3 linked regions of the Danio rerio genome follow. The protein of the gene in region 2 purifies or fractionates together with the protein of the main gene of each other region. This does not show direct contact. Links are inferred from orthologs where the notes say so. Each region holds a gene or a part of one and is shown on either strand. Other genes may lie near its edges. The genes, in order: vps41, vps33a and si:ch211-266g18.9.

Region 1 (3,661 bases), on a different chromosome or scaffold from region 2:
TTAATTGTTTGTTTTCAAATTTACTGTTCATTTAGTTACTTGTAACAAACACATTCAACAACAGCATTTTTGTTTTCCAGTAATTTTTTATTTGTTTTAAACCAGTCTTTCAATATTTTACAAAACAAAAATGTGTTCTGCCTTTTATAAACAGTATAAAAAATAACAAAAAAACATCAGCATGTGGACTTAAAAATACAAAACAACATACAGTGCAACATAAAGAGCAAAATGTACTCTGAAATAGTTAGAGACTTAAGAAATTATGTTCTTTAAACACATTACTTTTGCACTGTGCTTCAGTCCATTAAGTTTGAGAAACTTCACAGGTATATTTAAGTTCCTTGAGGTGCTTCAGAGTCAGATTATATATTTTGTCCATCAGCAGACCACAGCACCTTGAGATATCCATTCCATTTAGGATTCTTATGCCCTCAACTATGATGGTTTCTGTCTTGTAGTTTAATTCCAAAGTAGACCGATCACCAATAATGAATAATTGCCATTACTTGCCTCCTCATTAAGGTCCTCCTCTCTAAGGTCCTTAATGCATCCTCATTAGGTCCTCCTCAAATTCTTGTGTATTCTTGTAAAGCAAGAAAAAAAAACTTTGAGTCAAAAACACTGCTAACATCAACTTCACCAGGAGTAGCCAACACTCTAGTGGAATGGGGAAAATTGATTTGGAAATTAAATAAATTTATCTCTGAGATATCTCAGATATCTCGCCTTAAAATGTCCTATGTGCCAAACAGTCTGCCTAAAACTTGTCCAGACTTGCTTCTTACTTGTTTAGAGGGGAAGGACCTTTGAAATCCAGAACTCCATTTTTGTAGAAAGATTGAATTATCAACCCCATTTCTTTGGGTTGCTTCTAGTTAGATATTGTTTCAAACTAACTGACAGACATATTTACCATTAAATTAGCCGCATTATTTGTTGACGTAATTAGCAATATTTGCCTGTTGTGAAAACTTATTAGTATTACTCTGACAACTTAAAAGTTTTAATCTAATCAGCAATTAAGTTACAACAATGTATTAAACTATGTAGTGGTAACAGACCTCTCGAGTTATTTTTAGAGTGCATAGTAATTTAGTGTCAATTTAAAAATATATTGAATTAATGATGTGAATAATAATATTAATGTGGAAAATATGAATAATAGTCATACTTTGATGTCATTATTATTATTATTAATAGTATTATTATCGTTGTATTGTTATTTAGTATAGATTTTTACTATTATTATTATAATTGTGTAAATGTAGTGCTATTATACTTTTTAAAAGTGTCTATCAACAACTGCTATTTTGTCAACTAACCACTTGCTCCATTATTCCTCTCAGGCCATCAGTCAGTACTTACCGAGAGGAGACTTGCGCCTTCGACCTGCTATTTATGAGATGATCCTTCATGACTTCCTCAAGACTGACTATGAGGTTTGGTTTTCTTCAAAGCATATTTTCGTCAACACTTGAAAATATTGGTTCGTTAGGTAATGTTAGTTAATTTATTTACTAACATAAACAAACTTTTAGTAATGCATGTTGTATGTGGTATAGTATTTATTCATGTTTGTTAATGTTATTTAAGGTAAATAATGCAAGTTCATGTTAGTTTGTTAACAGTGCATTAACTTAGATTTTAATAAGGCATTAGTTAATATTTTATTAAGTGCTTTACAAGATTATTCATGCTTAGTTAATGTTAATAAATACATTAACTATCATTAATTAATGGTCCAATATTCTCAAGTGTTACCATATTTTCTATTATATGAACATCATGGTAATCGATTACCTAAGGCCTAAAAATATGATTGGATGACATCAATATCAGAGTCAAGACAATTCCCTCTTTCTTAGACGTAAAGAAATTAATTGATCTCTCCCCCAGGGTTTTGCCACACTCATTCGTGAGTGGCCTGGAGAGCTGTATAACAACATGGCTATAGTTCAGGCAGTGAATGAACACCTGAAGAAGGACCCCACCAACAGCATTCTCCTCACCACACTCGCAGAGCTGTGAGTGAATGTTGTTAATTCCACATTATAAAGGCTTGTAACATCATTTTTTAGGTTAAAGCTCATGGTAATACTTGCAGGCTCATCACCAATGGGTACTGGGACAGTGCTCCACTAGATAGAACTACACTACTTGATAAAAGTCTTGTCATCGATTCCAGTTGTAAGAGCGACAAATAATAACTCGACTTCTCAGTATGATCAGAAGTTAACAAAAGACTCAATCATTAAGCATTTGGATGGCATATTTTTTAACTGGAATGTGTCTTTCTTGTTTACCTTTAAAATGTGTCTTATTACCAAATAGGACAGCACCAGTCATGTTAAATTTGTCGTCTCCCTCTGTCTTACCTGCGTAGTCATCCTTACCTTTCTAATATTAATCTTTATAAACTAGCCAAAAGGCACGTAATAGCCTTGGTTGAGAAAGCAGCGCACTACAGCATGCAGGCGTGCAATGATAAAACTAGATTGACTGCATTGATTGATTGACTTTGTTGCTTCCCATCTCTGGATTTATTTGATAATAGGCTTCTGAACTAAATTTTTTATAAAAGTTTGAAGTTTGAGAGTGTTTAAACAAGAGAGAAGAGTGTTAAAATGTTAATGCCTGTCTGAGAAAAGAGTATAAAGTATGTAGTGAGGGGTTTCCATCTATAATAATTGTAAAAAAATATAAAGCTGACTACTTCGCAGATATCGGCTATCGTGGGTTATTTTTAGAATGTAACTCGCGTGATAATCAAGGGGCCACTGTATATTGTTATTGTATTGTTGGTGGAACTGTTTAGTATAGTTTAGTATAGGCAGAATTCAGATGAGTTTTTGAGTTTATTTAATTATTTAATTACTTGTCAATAATATAGAACTTTTTGTATAGAACAATGTGTCTCTCTTTACCTACTAAAATGCGTCTTATTACCAAATAGGACAGCACCAATCACGTTAAATTTGTCGTTTCTCTCTGTCTTATCTGCGTAGTCATCATTGCCTTTCTTATAGGAATCTTCATAAACTAGCCATAAGGCGCGTAATAGCCTTGGTTGAGAAAGCAGCGCACTACAGCATGCAAGCGCGCAATGATGAAAATAGATTGACTGCATCAAACGTACATTCAAATTGACAAGAAATAATATAGATTGCACCATCAAACACATAAAAACGAAAGTAACAAGCCCGATTTAAAAATGTTAGAAGTAGAAAGTACAGATATTTGTGTAAAAATTTAAGAAGTAAAAGTAAAAAGTTGTCAAAAAATAAATAGTGGAGTAAAGAACTGATACCAGTAAAATGTACTTTAGTACAGTAACAAAGTATTTGTGCTTTGTTGCTTCCCATCTCTGGATTTATTTAATAATAGGCTACTGGACTTATTTTTCTATGAGAGTTTGAACGTTCAGAGTGTTTAAACAAGAGAGAAAAGTGTGAAAATGTTAATGCCTGTCTGAGAAAAGAGTATAAAGTATGTAGTGAGGGGTTTCCATCTATAATAATTGTAAAAAAAAATAAAGCTGACTACTTCGCAGATTTCGGCTATCGTGGGTTATTTTTAGAACATAACTCCCGCGATAATCAAGGGGCCACTGTATATTGTTATTGTATTGTTGGTGGAACTGTTTAGTATAGTTTAGTAT
Region 2 (4,101 bases):
TATTTTTGTTGTTGTTGTTGTGTGAGTATCTTTTGAAGAATTGTTGTTATGTCTGTATTATAGTGAAAATCCAATAAATATCATTATTTAAAAAAATAACAATAAACAAATAAAATAAATATAAATTAATCATAAATTAATTTTAGCCAAGTTGTGACCGCAAGGCCTTAGTTGGCGTCTAGCTTGCTTGGGTTTGTTAACAAGGTAAGTGCAAATCTTTACAGATATATTGTTTTTTTTAATTCTGTATTTTGCTTAAGAGTCAACTGTTAATCACTAATCATAATGGTTCTAAAGTCCTGAATGACACAAGCGTATAAATTCTAAAGTTCTTGATTTCTCTGCCAAAATCTGACGAGCTGTTTAGTAACTAAACGAATTTAGATTTACCTCGAAACATTTTCTGCAATGATGTCCATTAACTCCAACCTCGGGCGAACAAAGAAGACAATATTCTTGACGGCGGCAGATGGTATTCGGCCTCCTTTAAGAGTGAACATTTTCTCCACTTCATGTTCCTTTATGAAAACAAATAGCACAATAATGAGTATGGGTATGTCAATGAGTAAACAAAAACAAGTCCCACAGGTACCATGTTGAAATTGAGGTAAAGTTGGTTTTATATTCGCAGATTCAGACTTTCTCCTCAATATAATTTCAGAAAAGTATTCTTTGCAAATTCTAAATAGGGAAATCACATTAGCAGCCAATGATTATCAAAGTACAACATTGTTCACAGTCAATTAAATAGTGCTAATGTTGTCAGACCCACAAGTTTCACAATATAGGGAGCATGTCCAAGTTATCTCAAAAGCAATGTGCAAATATAAAACCTCAACCATGTTAATCAGTGCATTTTTAAACTTAGCTTATCAAACAATACACAACATGCATATATATCTTTCAAATGTGACTCAAAAAATCATAGTTGATGGGTTGCAGACACTCATGTTAGTATATTTTGTTTTGTGGTAGCATTACATTGCATTGATAGCAACTCTTGGATAAATTTGTATTGCATTCACTGTGAATGTTCAGCTAACATCATTTATATTTATGAAAATCTTTGCAAAGATTCCACTAAATGTGACCTATTCAGTGTCACGAAACTGCGTTATTGGTTTGAAAACTGCTTTTATTGGGGTAAAGTTGGTTTTATAGTCAAACATTCAGACTTTCACCTTCTTGATGTGATTTCAGAAAATAATTATTTGCAATTTCTGAACAGGGAAATCACATTAGCAAAATATATAGACACAAAATTAAATAAATAAAGTAATCAAATCAATGTAAATAAATAAAGATAAACAAATCAAATAAATAAATGAAGAAATCACATCAAATAAATAAATAAAACCAAATAAACAAATCAAATAATCAAATCAAATATGAATGAATCAAAATAAATAATTATAATTTAAAAAATAAACAAATCAAATACATATAAATAAATAAATTTAATAAAATTAAATAATCAAATCAAATAAATATAAATAAATACAAATGAATAAATGAAGAAATCAAATAAATATAAATAAAAACCAAGTAAATAAAACCAAAAAAACAAATCAAATCATTAAATCAAATATAAATAAATAAATAAACAATAAATAATTAAATTAAATAAATAAATCAAATAACTATAAATAAACAAAAGTAAATAAATAAAATGGAATAAAAAAAATCTAATAAATATAAATAAAATTAAATAAATAAACAAATAAAAATAAATTAATTAAATTAAACAAACTTATAAAATAAATAAAAGTAAATAAATAACATTAAATGAATATACAAATCAAATAAATAAAAATAAAAATAAATTAATTAATTTATTCAATTAAATAAACAAATCAAATCAATATGAATAAATAAAAATAAATAAATAAAACTAAAATAAACAAATCAAATAAATAAAAATAAACAATTAAAATTTAATAAATTGAGCTTTTATTAGGGTAAAGTAGGTTTTATATTCACACATTCAGACTTTCACCTTCTTAATATATTTTCGGAAAATAATTATTTGCCATTTCTAAACAGGGAAACCAAATTAGCAGCCAATGACTATCAAAGTACATTGTTCACAGTCAATTAAATAGTGCTAATGTTGTTTGGAAATCATACTTGCATGCAAATTTAGACCCAGTGTTCAATGTAGAGTGGTAAACAAGATTTAGACACCATGTCACAAGTCGTCACCTTGTGCTAATAACAGCATGTCATTATAAATCTGTATTTGCATTTATAAATTCTGCTTCACTATTTTATTAAATGTACGAATGTAAATCCAGTATTACTTCAATAGTTGTTTACATTATGACCTTATACATTTTCCAAACCTTTATTCATTATTTGTTTCCATTTGATTTGTCTGCGTGTCGTGTATTTTAACATACAAGTGATATAATATAGATTAATAATACACATTTGATATTTAATATACAATTTTCATGCTGAATGAATATGATATGAACATATGCAATCTGTGAATACAATCTCTCACCTTTAAAAGTGAATACTGAGCAATCAGCCCGAAAGGTCCTGTTAGATACTCATCCCAAACAATGGCCTTTAATGGAGAAATAATAAAAGGGAAAACACATTAATTAAAAGACGATTGAGCTCCATATACTATGTTACACGACTGACAGTATTAGTAAACAATGTTTACAGGAATAATCTTTCATCACAACCATCAAGCGCAGGTTATGTGTTTACACAGGCAGTACATTTTGAGGAAACTCTGACTAAGTTAACAGTGTGACAGCCGGATAAACTCATTTACTAAAACGAAAACCTTTACCTTGCTTCCCGAACATTTATCCAAAAACTCGCGCAGGTCTTTTCGTGCAGCCTCTCTCAAAATATTTAGGTTTACTCTACCACAAAACAAATGTGACGCCATATTCGCCAAAGCGCAGTCATGTGACTTATGGCCAGAACCTCACGTGATACTTCTTTCAAAATAAAGATCAGCTCACGTAAATGTACATTTATGTTTCATCTATTACTTACACAAAAATACATATTAATATATATTTTTAAAAATATCTTCATCTAGTATAAATTCAGTTTAGCCAAAATAATTTTGGATTAATAGCAACGTGTACGTAGGCGTTTTCAGTGTTTGTTGCCAAATCCACGCTTTCCACGTATATTAGTTGCTTGAAATCAGATGCATTAGATTGTTTAAAGCCATTAAGTAGTTTTGTAGTAAACCTGCATAGATTGTAAAAAAGTAACATAACAATAATAAACGCGTAGCCAGTTAGTGTAATCTTATAGTAAGTTGTAATATAAGAGATTGTGTCTTGTGTGATAATTAAAATATGTTGATATCAGTTGAGTTAAAGAAATATTTTGTATTATTACTTGGATTAATTCTTGATTTTTGCCAAAGACTCTAGAATATAGCCTAAGGGATTTTAACTATTTAGGCTTTTTCGATGTTTGTTGCCAAATCCAGCTTTTCCACAAATATTTGTTGCTTGATATCAGATTGAACTGCAGCAGTTTGTAATATTTTGGATTATTATTTGAATTAATCATGACTTTTACCAAAGTCTAAAGAATATACCATAAGATATTTTACCTAAATAGGCTTTTTCGGAGTTTGTTGCCAAATCCACCTTTTCCACTCATTGTTGCTTACTTGATATCAGATTGACAGTAGTTTGTAAGGGAACATACAACAATCATTGATTGGTGTAGATACTTTTTGGTACACCTATATAATATTTCAACAATTTACTTATGTTTTCATATTTGTATGTTTTATTATTTTAATGTATTTTCTTTTTAACTTGTTATTCTTTTATGTATTGATCTTATTTACCATTTGCTTACTATGCTGTACCATGATGAATCTGTATTAGTATTCAAGTCACATAAAATTTGTACAAATGGTGTTTTATGTATCCCCGGTTACTAATGTTGATTTAAAAAATAAATTGTCGCGCAAACATGTGACTACACGCGTGATTTCTGTCAAATATCTGGCAACATCTCTGTTTAGGAAGAGCGCATTTCTGCTCTGGGGATCAGGGATCATTGTCAGTTCAAGTGCTGAAGACGAGTGAGTGGAAAATGCTGCGCACA
Region 3 (3,661 bases), on a different chromosome or scaffold from region 2:
TTATATATTACTTTACACCACACAAAAACCTCAAAACATGCTATTCTGAGTGTACCTCATACAGGTGAGTGGGCTTGACAAACCACCTGTCGAAAACACACTCTTTCATCACTCTGACACTAACCCACACTTGCACCAGTTTTGTAGATTTGCACCAGACACTTTCTTACAAGCAATCCTTATTTAAAAAAACAACAGCAACAACATTGTGCATTTATGAAGTGTGCTTCACACAGGTGAGTGGGCTTGACAAACCACCTGTAGAAACACTCTTGTTAGCATGTTCCTTGTAGCAATGTAAATGTATTAACCTGTTAAAAAGTCTTTATCTGCTTTATCTGCATCTTTTTTGTTTGCTCACCATATATTTGATCAGCATTGTAGAAGGAGGACTGCCACAGTAACTGCTGTAGTTTATGTCTCATCTCCTCTGTGCTTGATTCATTGTTGTGGTCATCCGCAAGCGACCGCAGTATTCGTTTGACATATGATGTGATAAGCATAGTATGGTGCTTTTCCTCCTGTGAAAACACATGTGGTTATTCAATGCCATGACAAGTGATGGTGAACTGGCTTAAAGCTGACATTATATTTTTATTGCGTACATTTTAACTTATATTGTTTTTGCATTGAAATGTAGTTTTTCTTTTACATTTGGATTTAAATGAAGAGGCAGTAGTCGTCGCTATTGTGTCATATCTGTGTAAAAATTGATTCATTAATTGTTACATTAGTTTACCATAGTGATTCGAGATAAGATACTTGCTTATATTTATTTTATTTTGAACAAGAAAAGTCACGTAATACAGTTTTAGTTTTTAATGAAAAACTTTACACTGTCCACGTTTTTATCTGGGTAATAATGTAATCTTACGTAATCTTATCTGGGACTGAAACATCCCATTTCATTTGTTTTATTTGTTTGGCAACTATGGTGATTTCTGTTTGAAACTTAATTTAAGCTAAATTAGGTTTAATTAAAGACTTAAGATTCTGTAATGTGTCCCCTGAGGCTTAGAAATAATAGCATTTATCCTGTTTCCCCTTATTAAGTCACTGTGAATGACCGGGTGAAGTTTTTGATGGTAGTGATGTGCAAATGTGGACAGTCGTGTGGTGGTGAGATGCCATGGAATTACCACAAAAGTTTCAATCAACTTCTTTTTGGACTGAGGACAAAGCCTTTGGTTATGATTGTATCAAATCCAACACAGGGTCATTGGAAATATTTGCTTCAGACTACATTTTTGTAAAGGCATTTTGTAAAAGTTTCTTGGATAAAATTAACAACAGTATGCCAACATCTTTTGTTCTTTTTTACACAAATGATATTTACAGGGACGTATTATCAATGATTAAAGTAGTATTTTCATGCAGTTCTTTGCAGAAAACTAATTAAATATTACAAAACAACTTAACAGGCGTCATGGTGGTTCATTGGGTAGCACGATCGCCTCACACAAAAAGATTGCTGGTTTCAACCCTGGCTGGGTCAGTTGGCATTTCTGTGTGGAGTTTGCATGTTCTCCCCATGTTGGCGGGGGTTTCCTCCGGGTGCTCCGGTTTCCCCCACAGTCCAAATACATGCGCTATAGGTGAATTGAATAAAAACTAATTTAATTGCAGTGTATGTGTGTGAATGTAAGAGTGTATGTGTGTTTCCCAGTGTTGGGTTATGGCTGGAAGGGTATCCGCTGTGTAAAACATATGCTGATTAAGTTGGCCGTTCAATCCCGCTGATGAATAAAGCTAAAAAGAAAATGAATGAATGAAAAACAACTTGACATGTATCTGAAACATAACAATACCCTAAGAAACACATTTCAGATTTGCAAAACAAATGTAAACAGCGCCCTCTAGTGGATTTTTCATCTAAAATGTGCAGCGAGACGTACCTGGAGCAACATATTTAACATTTTGCAAAAATGTAGGCTGAAGCACGAATTTCTAATGAGTCTCAGTTGATCAAATCTGTTCAGTGGTCAGTGGTCACTGTTAATTTAAACTTGGTAGTTCATGTTAATTGAAAAAGGCTCAAAATAAAACAGACTTTAGATGAAAATTAAGAACTGGAAATGTTGATATGGCTACTAAATGTAATGAAGTTGTGGTAAACTCAAATAAAATTTTAGAAATATAAACTACAAAGGTTACTTTAAATAAAAGCTAATTTTGTACTATAAATTGATTGGTTATGAATGCTTTTTTTGTCAGTGTCATTATTGATTAAAACTAACACAAAATGTTAATAAACCTAAATATAAAGTGTAAATATTTACTAAAAAAAGGAAAAAAAATATATATATATATAACAATACAATATAAACTAATACAAACTAAAATAAAAATCAGTATTATAAGAATTAAAACTATAGAACATTATGGAATAAAACTTTTTTTTTTATATCAAAAGATTAGGTAACACTTTGTTTTGATGGTTCATTTGAACGTATTAGTAGACTGTCTGCTTATATATCTGTTGATATGCTCCTTTAACAGACATTTAACTGACTATAAGAAACTTTGCAAACACGTCAATTTACACTAACCCTAAGCCCAACCTAACAGTCTACTTATAATCTAATGAAAATTAGTTATCATGTAGATGCAATGTAACTTAAATTTAACCAACGGACTATCAAAATAAAGTGTGACCAAAGATCAATGTAAATGTAATTTCTATCTTTTATAGTCACCTTGCTGTGTGATTCATTGACTAAATATTCCAAGTACAGGGTCAGAGCGACTGGGTAGCTGTTGAGAATGGTAAAAACTTCTTCTGGTACAAAAGTATTGTGGTTGCCTGCATTTGTCTTTGTGAAGATAAGTATACCAGCCTGTTGATGGAGAGAAGCAGCAAATCAGAATAATTTCTGAAGTGATAAAAGGATATAATGACTGCTGAAAAATAAGCTTTGCAATCATAAAAAAAAAAAAATGTATTGAATATTAAAGGTGCAGTATATAGGATCTCGCTGGAAGTACAGTAGTAGGTCATCCAGGTACTCGATCATGCCCACTGTTGTTTTTCCAGTATGGATTTAGACATACTACTCGATTGGGCCCAGATATATAATTATATTTCTATATAATTTCATCAGTTCATCAGATGACTTACAGGTAACTCTTTTTGCAAAGACTTTAGATTGATTGGGATGATTTTATAGGAAAGCGAGAAATTAGTTTTTTGTAATTTATTATATACATATAATAAACAGAATACAGTCATAAACACAATGGAGCAAATAATAAAGCGAAATAAAATGATTTATGGTTTTCTGGGGAGAGTCTTACAATATTCAATTACAGAAATTGAATAATCAAATGTAGATGAACAATGCATGGTCTTCATCATATAAACTGTTCAATAAAACAAGTCTTTATTAAACTTCTTTTTGCTCTATTAAAATGTTTTAAACTCTTAAGAGATTAACTCTCTTTCTCTCTTAAAATTCTTATACAGTCACAGGCCTTAAAACACACGCACTGATTAACTTTCACTCTACTATGCTGAAATTCTGTAGAGTCTCCACAAATCTCATGTGTTTTGACCTGTGGTTCCTGGTCATTGCGATGTGACTATTGCGGACAGACACATTGCGATATCAATGCTCAAATGATATATTGTGCAGCCATACTCACATACATTTTTTCAACAATA

The links.
Region 1: the proteins of vps33a (region 2) and vps41 purify together in Homo sapiens (affinity purification with mass spectrometry; 5 studies listed by BioGRID and IntAct, counting the BioPlex papers as one, with this or other methods). This does not show direct contact. The link is inferred for Danio rerio from reciprocal best matches to the Homo sapiens genes VPS33A and VPS41.
Region 3: the proteins of vps33a (region 2) and si:ch211-266g18.9 purify together in Homo sapiens (co-immunoprecipitation; 5 studies listed by BioGRID and IntAct, with this or other methods). This does not show direct contact. The link is inferred for Danio rerio from reciprocal best matches to the Homo sapiens genes VPS33A and TGFBRAP1.

Annotation. Positions count from the first base shown.
Region 1 is NC_133199.1:10,269,723-10,273,383, reverse strand, and holds part of vps41 (vacuolar protein sorting-associated protein 41 homolog), read left to right. Parts: intron 1-1,349; coding exon 1,350-1,442; intron 1,443-1,899; coding exon 1,900-2,027; exon of another isoform or gene 2,028-2,557; intron 2,558-3,387; exon of another isoform or gene 3,388-3,661. UniProt on the Homo sapiens protein: Plays a role in vesicle-mediated protein trafficking to lysosomal compartments including the endocytic membrane transport and autophagic pathways. Acts as a component of the HOPS endosomal tethering complex.
Region 2 is NC_133180.1:75,638,545-75,642,645, reverse strand, and holds the start of vps33a (vacuolar protein sorting-associated protein 33A), read right to left. Parts: upstream 2,935-4,101; 5' UTR 2,909-2,934; coding exon 2,807-2,908; intron 2,573-2,806; coding exon 2,507-2,572; intron 519-2,506; coding exon 391-518; intron 1-390. Other genes in the region: aldh2.2 (aldehyde dehydrogenase 2 family member, tandem duplicate 2), read left to right, coding at 4,090-4,101.
Region 3 is NC_133192.1:16,843,444-16,847,104, forward strand, and holds part of si:ch211-266g18.9 (transforming growth factor-beta receptor-associated protein 1), read right to left. Parts: intron 2,838-3,661; coding exon 2,697-2,837; intron 522-2,696; coding exon 362-521; intron 1-361. UniProt on the Homo sapiens protein: Plays a role in the TGF-beta/activin signaling pathway. It associates with inactive heteromeric TGF-beta and activin receptor complexes, mainly through the type II receptor, and is released upon activation of signaling.